4 linked regions of the Canis lupus familiaris genome follow. The protein of the gene in region 2 interacts with the protein of the main gene of each other region in a pairwise test. Links are inferred from orthologs where the notes say so. Each region holds a gene or a part of one and is shown on either strand. Other genes may lie near its edges. The genes, in order: BMERB1, RAPGEF4, ATXN1 and SWAP70.

The links.
Region 1: the proteins of RAPGEF4 (region 2) and BMERB1 interact in binary tests that used the Homo sapiens proteins (3 or more experiments, as listed by UniProt). The link is inferred for Canis lupus familiaris from reciprocal best matches to the Homo sapiens genes RAPGEF4 and BMERB1.
Region 3: the proteins of RAPGEF4 (region 2) and ATXN1 interact in binary tests that used the Homo sapiens proteins (3 or more experiments, as listed by UniProt). The link is inferred for Canis lupus familiaris from reciprocal best matches to the Homo sapiens genes RAPGEF4 and ATXN1.
Region 4: the proteins of RAPGEF4 (region 2) and SWAP70 interact in a two-hybrid assay, tested with the Homo sapiens proteins (2 studies listed by BioGRID and IntAct). The link is inferred for Canis lupus familiaris from reciprocal best matches to the Homo sapiens genes RAPGEF4 and SWAP70.

What each region holds. Positions count from the first base shown.
Region 1 is NC_049227.1:28,503,175-28,506,834, reverse strand, and holds the end of BMERB1 (bMERB domain-containing protein 1), read left to right. Parts: intron 1-878; coding exon of another isoform or gene 879-913; exon of another isoform or gene 914-928; intron 929-1,815; coding exon 1,816-1,928; 3' UTR 1,929-3,080; downstream 3,081-3,660.
Region 2 is NC_049257.1:17,573,309-17,577,132, reverse strand, and holds part of RAPGEF4 (rap guanine nucleotide exchange factor 4), read right to left. Parts: intron 3,563-3,824; coding exon 3,416-3,562; intron 2,168-3,415; exon of another isoform or gene 1,548-2,167; coding exon 1,432-1,547; exon of another isoform or gene 1-1,431.
Region 3 is NC_049256.1:17,160,880-17,165,250, forward strand, and holds the start of ATXN1 (ataxin-1), read right to left. Parts: upstream 2,860-4,371; 5' UTR 2,619-2,859; intron 1,644-2,618; exon of another isoform or gene 1,385-1,643; intron 1-1,384. UniProt on the Homo sapiens protein: Chromatin-binding factor that repress Notch signaling in the absence of Notch intracellular domain by acting as a CBF1 corepressor. Binds to the HEY promoter and might assist, along with NCOR2, RBPJ-mediated repression. Binds RNA in vitro.
Region 4 is NC_049242.1:33,564,809-33,568,632, forward strand, and holds part of SWAP70 (switch-associated protein 70), read left to right. Parts: intron 1-2,549; coding exon 2,550-2,696; intron 2,697-3,824.

The sequences.
Region 1 (3,660 bases), on a different chromosome or scaffold from region 2:
AAGAAGAGCAAGAGGAACGAGCTTCAGGGACTGGACACTATTAGAATGCCCTCACTTCCCTTCCGTTTCTATCTCTGCCCCTCATTGTATGTGAGCTTCATTTTCTCCTACTACACAGGCCTTCTTCATAGGGCCTGAACTCCAGAACCATAGCTTAGCAGCAGCAAGACAACACCGTGGGTTCTACGTCCTGGTATCCAAACACATCAATCTCAGGGGCATATTCTGATTGGACCTTCTTGGATCATGTTCCCACTTCCTAGGCCATCACCATCATCAAGAGGCTGGGATACTATGGTTGGCCAGATCTGTGTTGCATGCCTACTCTTGTAGCCACAGGGACATCTGCTGTTATCACAGAGAAGGGACTGGAATTCTTGCTAGGAAGATGAAACCCAAAAGCCACCACCATCTGCTATGGCCATAAATTCAGTTTTCCCTGACCATCTATTAATGTCCCATGAAATGTGGTATAGAGTGCAAGGGTATAAAGGAAGAAGAAAGTCCCTTCAGCAAGCCTCTAATATGACAAGGCACAGGGTCCTTGCCTAAATCCAGCATCCTCAGTGGACTGTCTCTTTCATGGCAGGCCAATTAGAAAAATCTCACCTAGCAGTGTGGGGAAGGAGCAAGGAAAATTGCCTTTTATGCAGGGTTATCGATAGCCAAAAGAAATCTGGCAAGAAAGTCAAAACACCAAGCTTATATCCTATGCAAGGGGCCAAGTGTTCAAATTTACTCTAATCATCTAGTGCTGGGATCTAAAGTTGAAAAATTAAAACGAATATAAAACCAGTGAAATCTCTGGGACTCCAGCAAAGCAAATGCAAAACCACTCAGTGGGGACACTTCTGCATCCCGCAATATGTAACCCACAGATAAAACGACCTCCGTGAAGATGAGCTGTCAATAAAAATTCTAAACCCATGAAGAACTGAACCACCATGATTGGAGTCAGTAGCTGCCACAAGGAGAGTGGCTGCCCTCCCAAGAATCAGAGATAACAGACTACCTAAAAGAGGCAATATCGTAAGTGTATTTAAAATGATGAAAGAGATAAGAGAAGGGATAAAACCCAAAGTGAAATCACAGGATGCCATGAGCAAAGAATTGGTAGATTTGCAAACAATTAGGTTTCTATAAAATATATATATATATATATATATATATATATATATATATATATATATACACACACACACATAGTCACAGAAGTAAAAACTCAGTAGATTAAGCAGAGCTGAAGTGAGAATTCAGAAATTGGAAGGCAGAGCTGAGGAACTTAACCAGCAGGTAACACAAAGAGACAAAGATATAGAAAATGCCTTCCAAAACATGGAAGAGAGAATAGGAAGGTCCAACTTCCTTCTCATAGGCATTCCAGAAGAGGGGCAACAGGGAACAAGAGAGTTGGAGGTATCTGAAAAGATCACGTTATGGCCACTTTCCGGGATTGAAAGACATGAATCCCCAGATTAAAGTGACTTGGACAAAATTTCCCATTTATCGGTTCACCAGATGCTTTGAAAGCCAGACCCTGTGCCAGGCGTGGCAGATACAATAGCAAAGAGTACTGAATAGGATTAGAGCTGAAGACTGTGATTGTCGGGGGTGAGATGGGGGGGTGGGGGTGGGAATAGGCTTCGGAACCGTCTAAAAACACACAGCCGCTCTCTGTACCTGTGGAGCTGAGCAAGCCTGGCTAGGGGTCGGGACGGGGCAGGGGCTACAGGTGGTCAAGGGGCTCTCCTTATATCACCTCTTCCCCTCTCTCCCTTTCTCCCTCTCCCCCTCCACGCTCCTACCCTGCTGCAGGCTCCCGAGCAGAGAAGAAAGCAGAGCCCCCACCTAGCAAGCCCACAGTGGCCAAGACCGGCCTGGCACTCATCAAGGATTGCTGTGGGGCCACCCAGTGCAATATCATGTAGCCCCCCATGTGGGGTGCCCCCGGGGCCACGGGGACCCCCCCACCCTCCTGTCTTCATAGCCCCCATTTCACCGGGGCCTGAGAGCTCTCCAAGGCGGAAGGGGTTGAAGGCCAGCCTGTGACTGCCGCCAGGGGCCGTGGGCGTGGCGGGCGGGCCCGACCGCCCTGTACAGAGTGTAGCAATAGGGAGTCCCTCACCGTCGCATGGCCCCCCACCCCCCCAGAGCATGCCAAACCCAGGAGTCTGTCTCACTGTTTATCCAACCACCAGGAAAGATCCTTCCTTGAAAAAGTATGTCTCCACTTCTATCTATCTATATCTAACCCACCGTGCGAATGATCTGGACGAGGGGCACGATCCCCAGGTGTGTATAGTCATGACTTTTCAACAATCCAGCACCACGTCGGACACATGCCTCATCCACCCTCGTAGCTCTGCTATCCGGCCAGCCCCAGATGGGCACAGCTCCCGCCCCCCTGTCTGTCCCCTCCCAGGGGCTGTGTTCTGGAGGCCTTCACTCAGCCCAAGCACCATGGAGACTCGAGGGCCCATCTGTAAAGGCTGAGCTCATGTGTGGTGTCGTGGTTACATCTCCTGCTTCCTCCCCTCCTGTGTCTGGGCACGGTTCACATCGAGAGTGTGTCCGTTTGCTCTTGGCCCTTCCTTCCCTTGCAATGTGTGCCCCAGGTGTGTGGAGCACAGTGGGGATGATGGCCTGGGCTGGAGACCAACCAGCGCTCGGAAGAGGTAGCGGAAAGCTAGAGGCTCCAACACCGGGCAAGGGCAGGCTGAGAAGGGGCCCCAGAGCAGATGCTGCCTTGGGTGCCCTCCACCCACTGGGGGGCCACTGGAGGGAGTGCCAACAGGACACACTCACCAGCCTAACACACAGACCTCCGTAAACATCAGCGGCGGCGGGCGGGAGAGGTGGCCTGACCCAACCGTGTCCCATCAGTCGGTGGTGTGTTTCAACCAGCTTAATAATTCCACCTGTGTAACTTGATGTACATTTGCTACAGCCAGCTCGGCGCAGCCCGTGTGACCTCTCTGTACGTGTGCGTGTCGTGACCGGCCTAACATAGCCTAACTCAAGATTCGCTGATGTGCAATCATCCATCGGAGAAAATAAAAGTGGAAACCACGTACACAGCATTTTTAACGTTTTTTTACTTTTTCTCTTGATTATGGAAGTCATCCATGTACATAGTAAACCTTTTAAAAGTATAGAAAGTATAAAGAAGTTTCTTTGTTTTCTGTTTGTATCTCCCACAAATTTTCCAGCTCGAGACCATGCTGCCCTTTTGGCAGGTTTCCTTTCATGCATTTTTTTTCCTCCCACAACCGGCATCATATTGTATCATCTTATAACCAGTTTCTTTTTTCATTGAGCATTAGATCACTATCATTTTCCCACGTCATCAAGAGTTCTTTGTAACAAACACTCCTCACAAATATTTACAACGGCTGCTCAGTAATCCATCTCGTGGCTATGCCATAATCTATCTAACCCTTATCTTACTATCGGACATTTAGATTGCTTCTACTTTTTAGTATTATTAAGAATGTCATGGGGCACCTGGGTGGCTCATTGGGTTGGGCCTCGGCTCAGGTCATGATCCTGGGGTCCTAGAATCGAATCTTACATCGGGCCCCATGCTCAGTGTGGAGTCTGCTTCTCCTTCTCCCTCTGCTTCTCCCCTGCTCATGCTTTCTCTCTCTCAAATAAATAAAT
Region 2 (3,824 bases):
CAATGGTTACGTGAGAGTGTTGAGGATACAGTATTTACATCATGTACTTTGCTATTGTAAGCTTCATGGCCGAAAGCACAAAAGCACTGAAGTTGTCAAGCCAGACCTGATGCCAGCTCTACCACTACAAGCCCTGTAACCTTGGGCAAGTAACTTGCTTCTCTGAGACTAAGCTTTTCCCATCCGTTAAAAGGGGTTTGTTGTAAGGATTAAATAAAACATGCAAAATATATTATGGCTATTCAATAATATTGTATTTTTTCCCACCTTCTTTGAAAATATGTTGATTCATCCAGATGAAAATGCCTGAGCGTTGGGCTTTTAGTCTAAACAGTAAAAATTGGGATCCCTGGGTGGCGCAGCGGTTTGGCGCCTGCCTTTGGCCCAGGGCGCGATCCTGGAGACCCAGGATCGAATCCCACGTCAGGCTCCCGGTGCATGGAGCCTGCTTCTCCCTCTGCCTGTGTCTCTGCCTCTCTCTCTCTGTGTGACTATCATAAATAAATAAAAATTAAAAAAAAATAGTAAACAGTAAAAATTCATCAGTTACTGTGAGTAGCCTGATTAAAGGGAACACCCCATTTTTGTGGCAAACAAAAGAAAATTACTTAGGAGGCATTCTTTTTCAGCATGTTATTTGGTGACACTGTCTTTAGCTACAGAATTGGTGTTTCTATTATTCCAAGATTGAAGATTAATCTTTACTTTAAAAACAAGATTCCGCAATCTTCTACAATTTCTTAAAGCTACATTTCCTTGTTCTCCTGTCTTACTATTCAAGTGTTGGTACATTTGATGGGGAAAAAAGCCTCATGTGAGAAGTTGCAACAAAAGATGGGACTGAACACAGACATCTGAAAAAGGGATCAAGTTCGACAGGGAACCTGAGAGATGGGAAGCAAATATCCTTTTGATGTTAGCAGGATTGAGTATGGATAAGGCCAAATGGATGCTTCTGGGCTACAATCAACAGACTGTCTTATATTTGAAGTCTGCGTTTCCGGCAAAGATGCTCATTCTGATAAGATGAAAACACTTCTCGGGAAATCCTACACAGGAAATTCAAATACCAGAGGTTCTCATCACCTCGGGGCCTACCTATCCTTTGCGCTGCCTGGCATTCCTATTTCCATTGTTCTTCCCGTCTTAGTGTTCCAAAGCTATTACAGTTGAATACCGTATATAGAGAGCGTCTGTAGAGAAGGAGAACAGTCTCCTCTGAATTAACTCCAGGCAGCACCAAGCTCAACGCAGTGCCAGAAATGGATACATTATCCTCCACAAGATGTGTGATTAGTCAATAGAGAGAAAAAAAAGTCACACACACTGCCGTCTTCCACAAAAAAGGAGAGCATGCTATTGTAGAAATGATGATACCATGTGAAAAGGTTAATCATAGTCTGGCAATTGCAGTGTTGGATGCAAACCTACTTTTGCTGAGGCTGTGAGTTTCCTTGATTAGAAGCCCTGTTCCCTGCTGGGACCTTCTCCAGCACCAAGACATCTTGGTCATGTTCTTTAAGTCTGACTGTATTCGCCTCAACGTCCTGCAAATACAAATTACACCACATACAGATGCTGCTGTTTTCTCAGACAATGAAAAAAATTTCAAATGCTTCAGAAACTCATTTGGTGCTTGTGATGCTAATTGTTGCATCTACAAATTAAGTCATTTTCAAAGTCAGGGCTGGAATGGTCAGAGAGAGGACCAGATGAGGTTTGAGGCATGTGGTTTTAAAACTCTTTTACCCCAGATTCAGAAAAACAGCCAAGTAGAGAGGAGTGTGGTTGTGCTCTGAGAAACCTTTAAAAGAGGGGGCATAGCGGGAAGACAGGGAGCAAGTGCCTTATCCTGACAAAAATATGTGGCAGGTTTCTTCATTTTGATTTTCTTCTGAGGGTGTGTCATTTTCATAGGTGTGTACCTTTTCTCTCTCATCAAAAGGCTCTGTTTATTTTTTTTAAAGATCTGTTTGAAATGTATTAAAAACATTTTTCAGTTATTTTGGACAATTTTATAAATTGTATCAATAATGATCCTAATCTGATTCTTTCAGCGAATTATTTTTGGCTGAGTTGGAAATTTTGTGTGTATCAACTTCAAAGAGCGACTAAAGTTTACCTCTAAATTTCAATGTCATTTAAACAATTAAATTAAAAATCTTAATGTGCTTTTTTCTCATCATTTGGTCCCCACTTTAAAAGAGATCAGTTAAGAGCCAAGTCAAATTCCATGAGGCATTTTTCTCTATATTCTTCAATGGTATAATTCCAATTTAACTCTCCTTGCATTAAGAGATTGCATTCCTAAGACAAACTGTGTTGTCAGAAATTTTGCCACCAAAGGCAAATGCTTAAGGCTGTGTGTGAACAGGTGTTCATATATTAGGAATGGAGAAAGACATTGTAAATCATCATGAAGTAATGCCAAGCATATCAGAAAGCACAGAAACTGCATTTAGGACTTCAGGGTAGGACAGAAAAGGTACTAAGGCTGGGAGAGGCAGAGAAGGGAGTCTGCTCTGTGAGCCAGCAAGGAGGGAAAGAGCAAAGTGATCCTTGAGGGAACCATCTCTCAGGGTGAACTCAAGCTGGGGCAGGGTGGACTGCAGGCCATCTGAGAGGCCAAGGGTGATGGGACACTGTCATCATCCCCAGGAGTTCCAGGGGTTGTGTGTGTGTGTGTGTGTGTATGTGTGTGTATAGTGGGGAGTGGGGAAGATCAGGGACCATCTCTTCTCAACATCACCCACGCTCACAAATACTTTAATAAGCTTACATTAGGCGCATTTGCAGAGCCAACTGCAAAGTGCAATCTCATTTCTCTATCACCCCAATTGTTCTTCACCTACTTGCTAAAGTTTGAAATTCCTTTAGTGTGAATCAATTTGACATAAAGCACTTGAAATGAAAATGCTTGGTTGGAGTAACCATGACTGACGTTAATTCCCACTAAAATGTAATCACTCAATAAATCAGGAGAAGGCATGATGATATGAGAAAGGCTCAGTCTTGGGAAGAGACGGGAGGTGGGTACTTAGAAGGTCTACGATGGAGAAAAAGCTGGAGAGTGAGGGGGGAAGGACACAAACTGGCCAACCTAGAATTGCCAAAGAGAAAGGTCTCAGACTGACATCTGGCCAAGGCGCTCCCTGTTTTTCTTTAATTCTCATGGGCCAGGAGGGGTGTGTGCACTTATCTGGTCCAGCATACATGCCACATTTGCAGCTTTATTGGAATAACCGCTTTGGATCCTGGAACGCACACCGGCATACCAGGTTTGTAACCAAGGCTCTTTGTTCATAGAGTGTTCAGTAGTTACAGGACTAGTCAATTAACACCACACTCTAATCTTTGCTTGTCTAGCAAAAGGAAAAATGAGATGTGCCTCAGCCACACTTTGCCTTGGACTCACCCTTAGGATCCGGTTGAAATCCTCTTTGTCTACTCTTAAGAAGTGGCAATTATCTTCTCTCAAGACGATAGAAGCAGCTCTTGGGGCATCATTCACTAATGCTAACTTGCCAAAGTCATCCCCTTCGTGCAGGGTACACACCACGCCCTGGAGGAGCAGAACATTCAGATGAAGACGGTCCCTGAATCTGAGCAAACACCCACTCACCTCACGCCACAAGACCCCCTTTCCCCCAAAACACTGTATATATAAACGGGCTGCACCCAGGGATGCCAAGGGAGAGTTCTATAATTAGATTATAATGTTTTATTTTTTTCATTGAGTAATATGGATTATGGCCTAACTTAAATGTACAATTTTATATATTTATTTTAAATCTATGTATCTATAAGGAGATGAGCCCCAGAAA
Region 3 (4,371 bases), on a different chromosome or scaffold from region 2:
CTGACACTATCTACAGGATGAGAAGGACAGGCAGCCGGGAGGTTCGGGGGAGCCCTCCACCCTCTGCTGTCCATGGAAGGTGGCTTCCAAGCCTGTTCGTCTGTGGAGCTGCTAAAATATTGACTGAGGCACGCACACTTGGAGGACAATCAGAGGAGATTAAATGCCACAGCATTAGCTGTTATGGTGCAATCCCTTTCTAAGAGTTCATGTGCAGGATTTTCTCAACCTTCTCTTTGGTGCTGGTTTCCTCAGGCACAGGCTTCACTCCACCAAAAAAAAAAAAAAAAAAAAAAAAAAAAGTCCAAGTATCAAACTACAAATAAACCACAGGGTGGGCTCACAGGGGCTTCTAGGAACGAACAGCAGGGCTCCTCAGAAACCCAAACAGAAATGGCTTAGCTAACTAACACTATTGAAAAAGTAACTGGCTCTGCCTAAAAATAACCATCAAGTAACTACCCACTGCTCTGTGCGATATGTACCGACAATGTTTAAATATTAAGAGCAGCCTGCATTACAAAACACAAATGTCATTGAGATGTGACTACTCGATTGCCAAAGGAGAGCTTATTTGCATATACACATTCCCGTGCCTGCACCAAGGGACACGCAGGGAGCCTGCCACTCTAAGGCGGTAGTTTTTATTCTGCGGGTGCAAGGGGGTCGTCTAATTCTACTGATCGTATCCTGCGGATCTCGCAGGGAAGCTACGAATCTCTTCGGGGACAGAACCAGTTTGGAGGAGTCCCTTACTGCACAGCATACGGTAAACAAAATAAAAATAGCTTGCCGTTCTCGTTAGCCACATCGCGCATTATATAACCAGCTTCCGACTGGCTTTTTTTTTTTTTTCCCCCTTACTACTCTTCAGCAATTTCCCAATCTCCCGAAGTATTTATATTACCCTCTTATCTGCAGGATTATATACTAAGAAAGCACAACAACACAGAGCAGCCACAGGGTTGAACCGAACCCCACGGTCCCTGGAAACTGATTTTTTTTGTTGTTGTTGCTGCTGCTGCTGCTGTGTTCTGGCAAGATCTCCACCACCACCCTACTTCCACCCCCCACGAAGGTCCTTTTGCTCGGTCTCCCTAGAAAACCTGAATTGTTGCACCGCTTCCAGGCAGCCCCCTACGTGGTCTGAAATAAAATGAAAGCACAAGCCCCGGAGTTTCGGAAGGCGGCGGGAGGGCGGGGGGCCGGGGAGGGGTCGGGGCGCCGCGGAGTCAGCCAAGTGGCCGGCGAGGGGCCGCTGCCCCCCGCGCCCGCCCCGGCGCCCCCACCCGCGCGCGCGCACACACACACACACACACACACACGCGCGCGCACACGCACTCACACACGCACGCACTCACTCACACTCACGCCGCCGCCTCACCTCTCGCTCCGCCCGGCCGGCCCCTTCCCTGCCCCCGGCGGGACCGGCCTGCTCGCGGCGCTGGAACCACGTAGGAGGCGGCGGCCGCGGGAGTGGCGGAGTCTCCGGCCCGGCCCAGAGTGAGCGAGCAGCGGGGCTCCAGGGCGCATCCCAATCCCCGCAGCGCCTCCTCCGCCGCCGCCGCCTCCTCCTTCCCCTCCTCCTGGCTTCATTCACCCTCCCAGCCGCCGCGCAGCCGCTCACTCCCGGCGCCGCTCCTCCGCTGCCGCCGCGGGCGCTGGCGGGGGCGCCGGCCCGGGCTGGGGCGCTCGCGGGCTCCGGGCTCCGGGCGGCGGCGGCTGCACATGATCAGGAAGCGGCCGCACCAACAGGGCGGCGGTGGCGGCGGCGGCGGCGGCGGCGGCGGCGGCGGCGGCGGAGGAGGAGGAGGAGGAGGAGGAGGCGGCAGGGCCGCCGCCGCCGCCGCTCCAGCCGCGCTCCCGGCACCCGCACGTCGGCTCCCCCCGCGCCCACCCCTCCGCGCCCCCCGCGCTCCCACCGCCCGGCGCCCGGCCGCGCGCAGAGTCCCGGGCCGCAGCCACACGCCGGGCGAGGCCGGCCTCCGCGGGGGACCCCCCGCCCCGGGCTCAGGGGCCGGGCGGCCCTCGCGGGGGGCGGGGGGGAGGCCCGGCCCCCCTCCGGACCCACTGGCTCCGCCGCCCTCCCGGGGGCCCGGGCTGCGCAGGGGGCGGCGGGCGAGAGGGCAGCGCGACCCCCGGCCGCCGCCGCCGCCGCCGCCGCCGCCTCCAGGGAGGGGGACGCGGGTCTCCGCACTCGCGGCCGGCCCGGCAGCCCCGCCGCTCCCCCGCCCGCTCCCGCTCCCGCTCCCGCACCCCCAGCCCGGGCGCGCCCCCTCGCCGGGCGGGCGCCCACCGGCCCGGCAGCCCCCCTGCCGTCAGTCCCTGCGCCCCGAGCGGGGGTGTCGGCCCGGGAGGCTGGAGCGGGAGAAGGCGGTATGTACACACACACACACACACACACACACACACACGACACAGCACGACGCGTCGATTTCCTTCGCTCCTCTTCCAGCTGTTTTCTGTGCCGGCGACTGGGGTTTGGGGTTTGTTTGCTGGTTGTTGCTTTTGCCCCTCTCTGGAGAGCGGGGGTAGGGGCCAATTTTAATCTAGATAAGGGGCGAAGGGGATGGGGGAGGGGGAGGAGAGAATCAGAGGAGAAAAAAATAGCCACTTACTGTAAAGTGTAAATGGATCTGGGGTTGCGTGGGGAAGGGGGGGCAGAGGGAGAGAAACAGTGTCTTGCGGCTGCTGTAGCTCTGGCGGCTGCTCCGCGGGGCTTGTTTTGTGATCCCCCTGCAGTGAAACAGGTCCTGTACGGCTCCGCCACTGTAGTAGAAATGATGTCTGCGGTACACTCTGCTCTCTCCTCCTCCTCCTCCTCCCCGTCCTCCTCCTCCTCCTCCTCGTCCTCCTCCTCCTCCTCCTCGCCCTCCTCCTCCTCCGACCCCCCCGCTCCCCTCCCCTCCCTCCTCCCTCCGCCCGCCCGCCCTCCCTCCCTCGCGCTCTCTCGCGCTCGCTCGCTCGCTCGCTCGCTCCAGTATGTAAATGTGTAATAGAAGCCAAATATGGAGCAGTTGGCTGCCGCCGCCGCAGCTCAAGGATCCGACTTGGGGGTGGGGGGTGGGGGGGTGGCGGGGGGGGCCCCGCGGCGGGCGGCGGGCGGCTCGGAGCAGCGCGAGCGCACGGCGCGGCGGACGGCCCGGCCGGCGCCCTTAACCCTTGGCTGCGCGCGGCCCGGGGAGGCGGCCCCGGGAGGCGGCGCGCGGCCGGCGACCGGCTGGCGAGCGGGGGGCGGGGGGGGCGCCTCCGGCCGGAGGGACGCTTCTTCCAGGTTTGGGAAAGGGGCGGGGAGCTGAAGCGATGAGGTAATTTCAGCGGTGACCGGTCGGTCCTCGCGCGCCTCCCCGGGTCCCTGCACCTAGTTGGAGGGGGACGGGGCGAGGACGGCGGGGTGCAGCTCGCGGCGGCCTGCAGGGCGCTCCGGGGGGTGTCGGGCTCCGGCCCGCAGGCGGAGGGGAGGGGGCGCGAGGGTGATCCCGACGTGCCCTGGGTCCGGGGCGCGCCGAGAATCGTCTAAGGGGGCAGACTCGGATCGCCGCGCGGCGGCTTCAGCCCCTGAACCGGGCCCGCGGGGCTGCGGGGATTGCCTCTGCGTGCGACTCGGGAAAGTTTGCAGGGTCCCCGCGCCCGCATGGGCACCGTCACCTTTCCCGCCTGCCGGAGCGGGTGCCCCCTCCTCCCACCCCCACCCCCCCACCCCCCACCCCCCACCCCGTTTCGCTTTCTGCAGGTCTGGAAATCCGCTCGGTAGCGCCCAGCCCCAGCCTCGGAAGACGACCCGCGCGCTGCTCTCGCGGCTCATTCGGATCATTAATTTAATCGGAAATGAGGTAACCGGTGCAGGAGACACAGAAAGCAAACCGAACGTCAAATGGCAGTTCTCGGGGATCCACGCTGGGGAACTTCCTCCGCGCTCGGCCCCCCGGCGCGGGTCCCCGCGGCCCACCGCCCCGCCCCCTCCGCGCGTGCCGCCGCCAGGTGTTAGCTGGGTGGCGAGGAGCCTGCTGTCGAGGGGTGCACCTTGCCAACAGGTGTGGCACCTGGAGGAAGCGCAGTGACATCCGTGCTGGAGGGAGCTCAGCGCGGCGGGCGGGCGTGCTTGCTGCAGATGATTCTGGAAGACCAGTAGGTGTCGGGGCAGCGTTTGACCTGTTTCAGGTGCTTCGAGCCCGAGTGTCTGGAAACATGATCTCTGCCCATAAGTTTCTCTCTGGAAGCCACCACTCCTGACTGTAAGCTGTATGGGGAGAAACCTTTGGCTGAGTTTACTTATGACCTAACGGTTAGTCACCAACCGAAGCAGGATACAGAATCACCAAGAGAAATGTGTCAGCTTCTAAACAACTGGATTGTAGAGCCGACGTGCTA
Region 4 (3,824 bases), on a different chromosome or scaffold from region 2:
TATCTTGTAACCCTGCTCATGAAATGTGATATATGCGTGTAGGGCTATCTGGAAGAATGGTCACGAAAATGTTAAAAGTGATTGTCTCTGGATTGTGGGATCTCTGTAAATTTTATTTTCTTCTTTATTCCTTTTTAATTATTGGACTTACTACTTTATATATGATTCTATACATGAATGTATGTATATGATTATATATTTTTATGAAATCAGAAAAATACCCTTACTTTTGGGAGAAAATACCTTTATGTAGCAAAATTATACTTATTAGATTATGACCCACATAGCATCTGATATACATATGGGAAGCTTGATGCTTGTTAAATAGAATTTATATATTTTTTAGTGGATCTTACAAATTTCTTAATTATTATTATTATTATTATTATTTTTTTAAAGATTTTATTTATTTATTCATAGAGACAGAGAGAGAGGCAGAGACACAGGCAGAGGGAGAAGCAGGCATCTTACAGAGAGCCTGACGTGGGACTCGATCCAGGGTCTCCAGGATCACACCCTGGGCTGCAGGCGGTGCTAAACCACTGTGCCACTGGGGCTGCCCTTTCTTAATTATTATACTGAATAATAACTCCAAATTGAGATTTCCTTACTTTGGCCTTTTATTTACTCAGCAGATGTTGTCTTTACTCTTTTTTCCTAATTGAGCCCATCAATAAACATTAATTGAGGTTTCATTTGTGTAGGTTTTTTTTTTAATTTTCTTTTTTTAAAAATTTTTATTTATTTATGATAGTCACACAGAGAGAGAGAGAGAGAGAGAGGCAGAGACACAGGCAGAGAGAGAAGCAGGCTCCATGCACCGGGAGCCCGACGTGGGATTCGATCCCGGGTCTCCAGGATCGCGCCCTGGGCCAAAGGCAGGCGCCAAACCGCTGTGCCACCCAGGGATCCCTGTGTAGGTTTTTAGTGCTAAAACAAGGCATGAGACATGGTCTCTGTTCAAAGACTTGTAAGCCCACCAGGATAGCAGGATAATCTGACTACAGATGAATTTTAGTATGAGATAGCTTTTACTTAAATGTCCAAGGAATAGGGAACTGAACAAGTAATATGATTAGAACTTGGTATAATAATTAAATAATATGGCAAGCTAATATATATTTAATGGTTATGTATGATCTACTACTGGTTATTAGCACTTACACATTTGATGATTAAAATGTCAGCTATTCTTGGAGTGTCTGGGTGGCTCAGTCAGTTAAGCATCTGGTTTTTGTTTTCAGCTGGGGCCATAATCTTAGGGTTGTGAGACTGAGCCCTGCTTCAGGCTCCATGCCCAGTGGGAAGTCTGCTTCGGATTATCTCTCCCTGTGCCCACCCCCTTGTGTACGTGCACACTCTTTTCTCTTAAATAAGTGTGGAAAAAAAAACCCAGCTATTCTCAAACAACCCTGAAGGGCTTTGGCTGATAATGTGTCATTTTGCTTAAGTGAAAATATGAATTTTTACTTTATCAGTCATATCACCTTTGTGACTAATATGAGTGAAGGAAGTATAGGCCTAGAAGTGTGAGTGTAGGAGCTACATTTAGAAGCAGAATCCTGAGACCCCTGGGTGGCTCGGTGGTTTAGCGCTTGCCTTCAGCTCAGGGCGTGATCCTGGAGTTCTGGGAATCAAGTCCCGCATCGGGCTCCCTGCATGGAGCCTGCTTCTCCCTCTGCCTGTGCCTTTCATGAATAAATAAATAAAATCTTTAAAAAAAAAAAAAAATGGAGCCAGAATCCTGCTAGTTCCTTTTCTGTTCATCTGAAGCAGAGTTCTTTTTTCCAGAATAGCGAGAGGTCAGGTAGAAGGGGAGGTTGGTGCCAGAAGGTGATTGGTTGGTTGAAAGATAAATTTGCGTTTCGTTGAGGTTTTAATTTACTGACAATCACTTAGAGTTTTGTGTGTGTGTTTTAATCAGAATAGAATAGTGTAGTGAACTCACATATACCATTCATCCAGCCTCAGTAACCACTGACACATGGTTAATCCTACTCTTCCTACTTGCTTAATACCTTCAAGATACCTTGAAACAATCCCAGACAGTCATTTTATGTATAAATAATTCAATAGACATCCCTAAAAGATAAGGAATTTTAGGGGTACCTGGGTGGCTCAGTTAAGTGTCTGACTCTTGGTTTCAGCTCGTCATGATCTCAGGGTCATGAGATTGAACCCTGTGTCAGGCTCCATGCTGGGTGTGGAGCCTGCTTAAGATTCTCTCTCCCTCCTTTAAAAAAAAAAAAAGAATTTTAAAAAATCACAATGCTTTTGGCACCAGGAGTTCTAAGGCTACTTATCTATATAGCACTAGGGGATGGCGAGTGCAGTGGACAGTTGTCTCTGCATATCCAGAATTCTGTGTAAACTTTTGTGTGCACGTATTTGTGTGAATTTGACTGGGTTTAGTGCCCTTGGCCTTTATGTCCTCAATAGGTTCATGATCCATAAAGGTCAAGAACCACTGATACTTGTGTATTCAAGGAAGAGATATTAGCTCTTAAAGTAAAAGGCCAGGCATTTATATCAGATTTAATCTTTCATAGGGTTACATGATGAAAAAAGGCCACAGACGGAAAAACTGGACTGAACGTTGGTTTGTACTAAAACCCAACATAATTTCTTATTATGTGAGTGAGGATCTGAAAGATAAGAAAGGAGACATTCTCTTGGATGAAAACTGCTGTGTGGAGGTAAGAATCTACTGTTACCACTTTCTGATGCTGCCCCCTGCTGCTCAAGTGTTTTATCTTGCTTCTGGTCTTTAGAACCTTAAAATACTCTTAAAATTTACATTTCTAAAATAGTATAGGTGTACAGTTGCCAAACTTCCTGAACCAAAAACCAAAGATCCCTGACAAGTTTTTTTTATAATGTGAATTTGTTTTCTGTCTCATGAACAAAGTATAGGGATTAAGTCAGATTTATTTGTACATTTAAGGAAACACTTATTCAATAAAATGGAGTTCTAAAAAAAGCAAAAAAAAAATCAGTAAGACAGGGTTTGAAATCATGAATATATGAGGAACTCTGGGCCATTTTGAATACAGTAAATAAAACTAAAGAAAATATGAGTATTACCTTTGAATATTTTAGGTGACCTTCAGGACACCTTACTTAATAGCTGTTAATTCTATAAAGTGAAGTCTTCAAGAAACATACATTTTGAGTTTTTGATTTATATCGGAACTATCATAACTGTATTTGTTGAAGAACATTTAAAATACCTAAAATCTCGCTTATAAATGAGTGTGTTTTGATGGATGAAATAGTATAGATATATTAATGTCTCAGGGTGTGCACTGCCACTAAGGGGTCTTAGATTCGTGGAGATTCACGAGATTAACATAGGCCATACCAGTCTACTTATAAGGATATAGGACAGGAACTATAGCTTGCTAGCAGTAATATCTCAGGTGCAAAGAAAGTGTATCTGCATCAGGCAGGTATGGAAATCACCCTGGCTCAGAAGCCTCATGGTGCGCTGGAGTCAATACCTGTTAAAACAACGTGGATATACCTTCCAGGGTTCCTGTAAGGGGTGTGGTGTGTTCATGTATCCGTCACTGTGCTCAGGAAGGCCAAAGCATGGTGTCTCCATCAGGTGTTGGTGGTTCTCACAGTCCAGATGGAGTATACTAATCAGGGTTCACTGTTACCATAGGTATTGTTGCCTAGAGGATAGCATTCTGTAAACCAGAAATATACCCTTATAGACATTTTTCACTGACATTGAATTTCGGCCAGATTTGTATAAATGATTAAGGTTGGATTTAATTTAAATGCTTAAAAATAAAATTTTAAAAAGCTGTTTTTGCTTT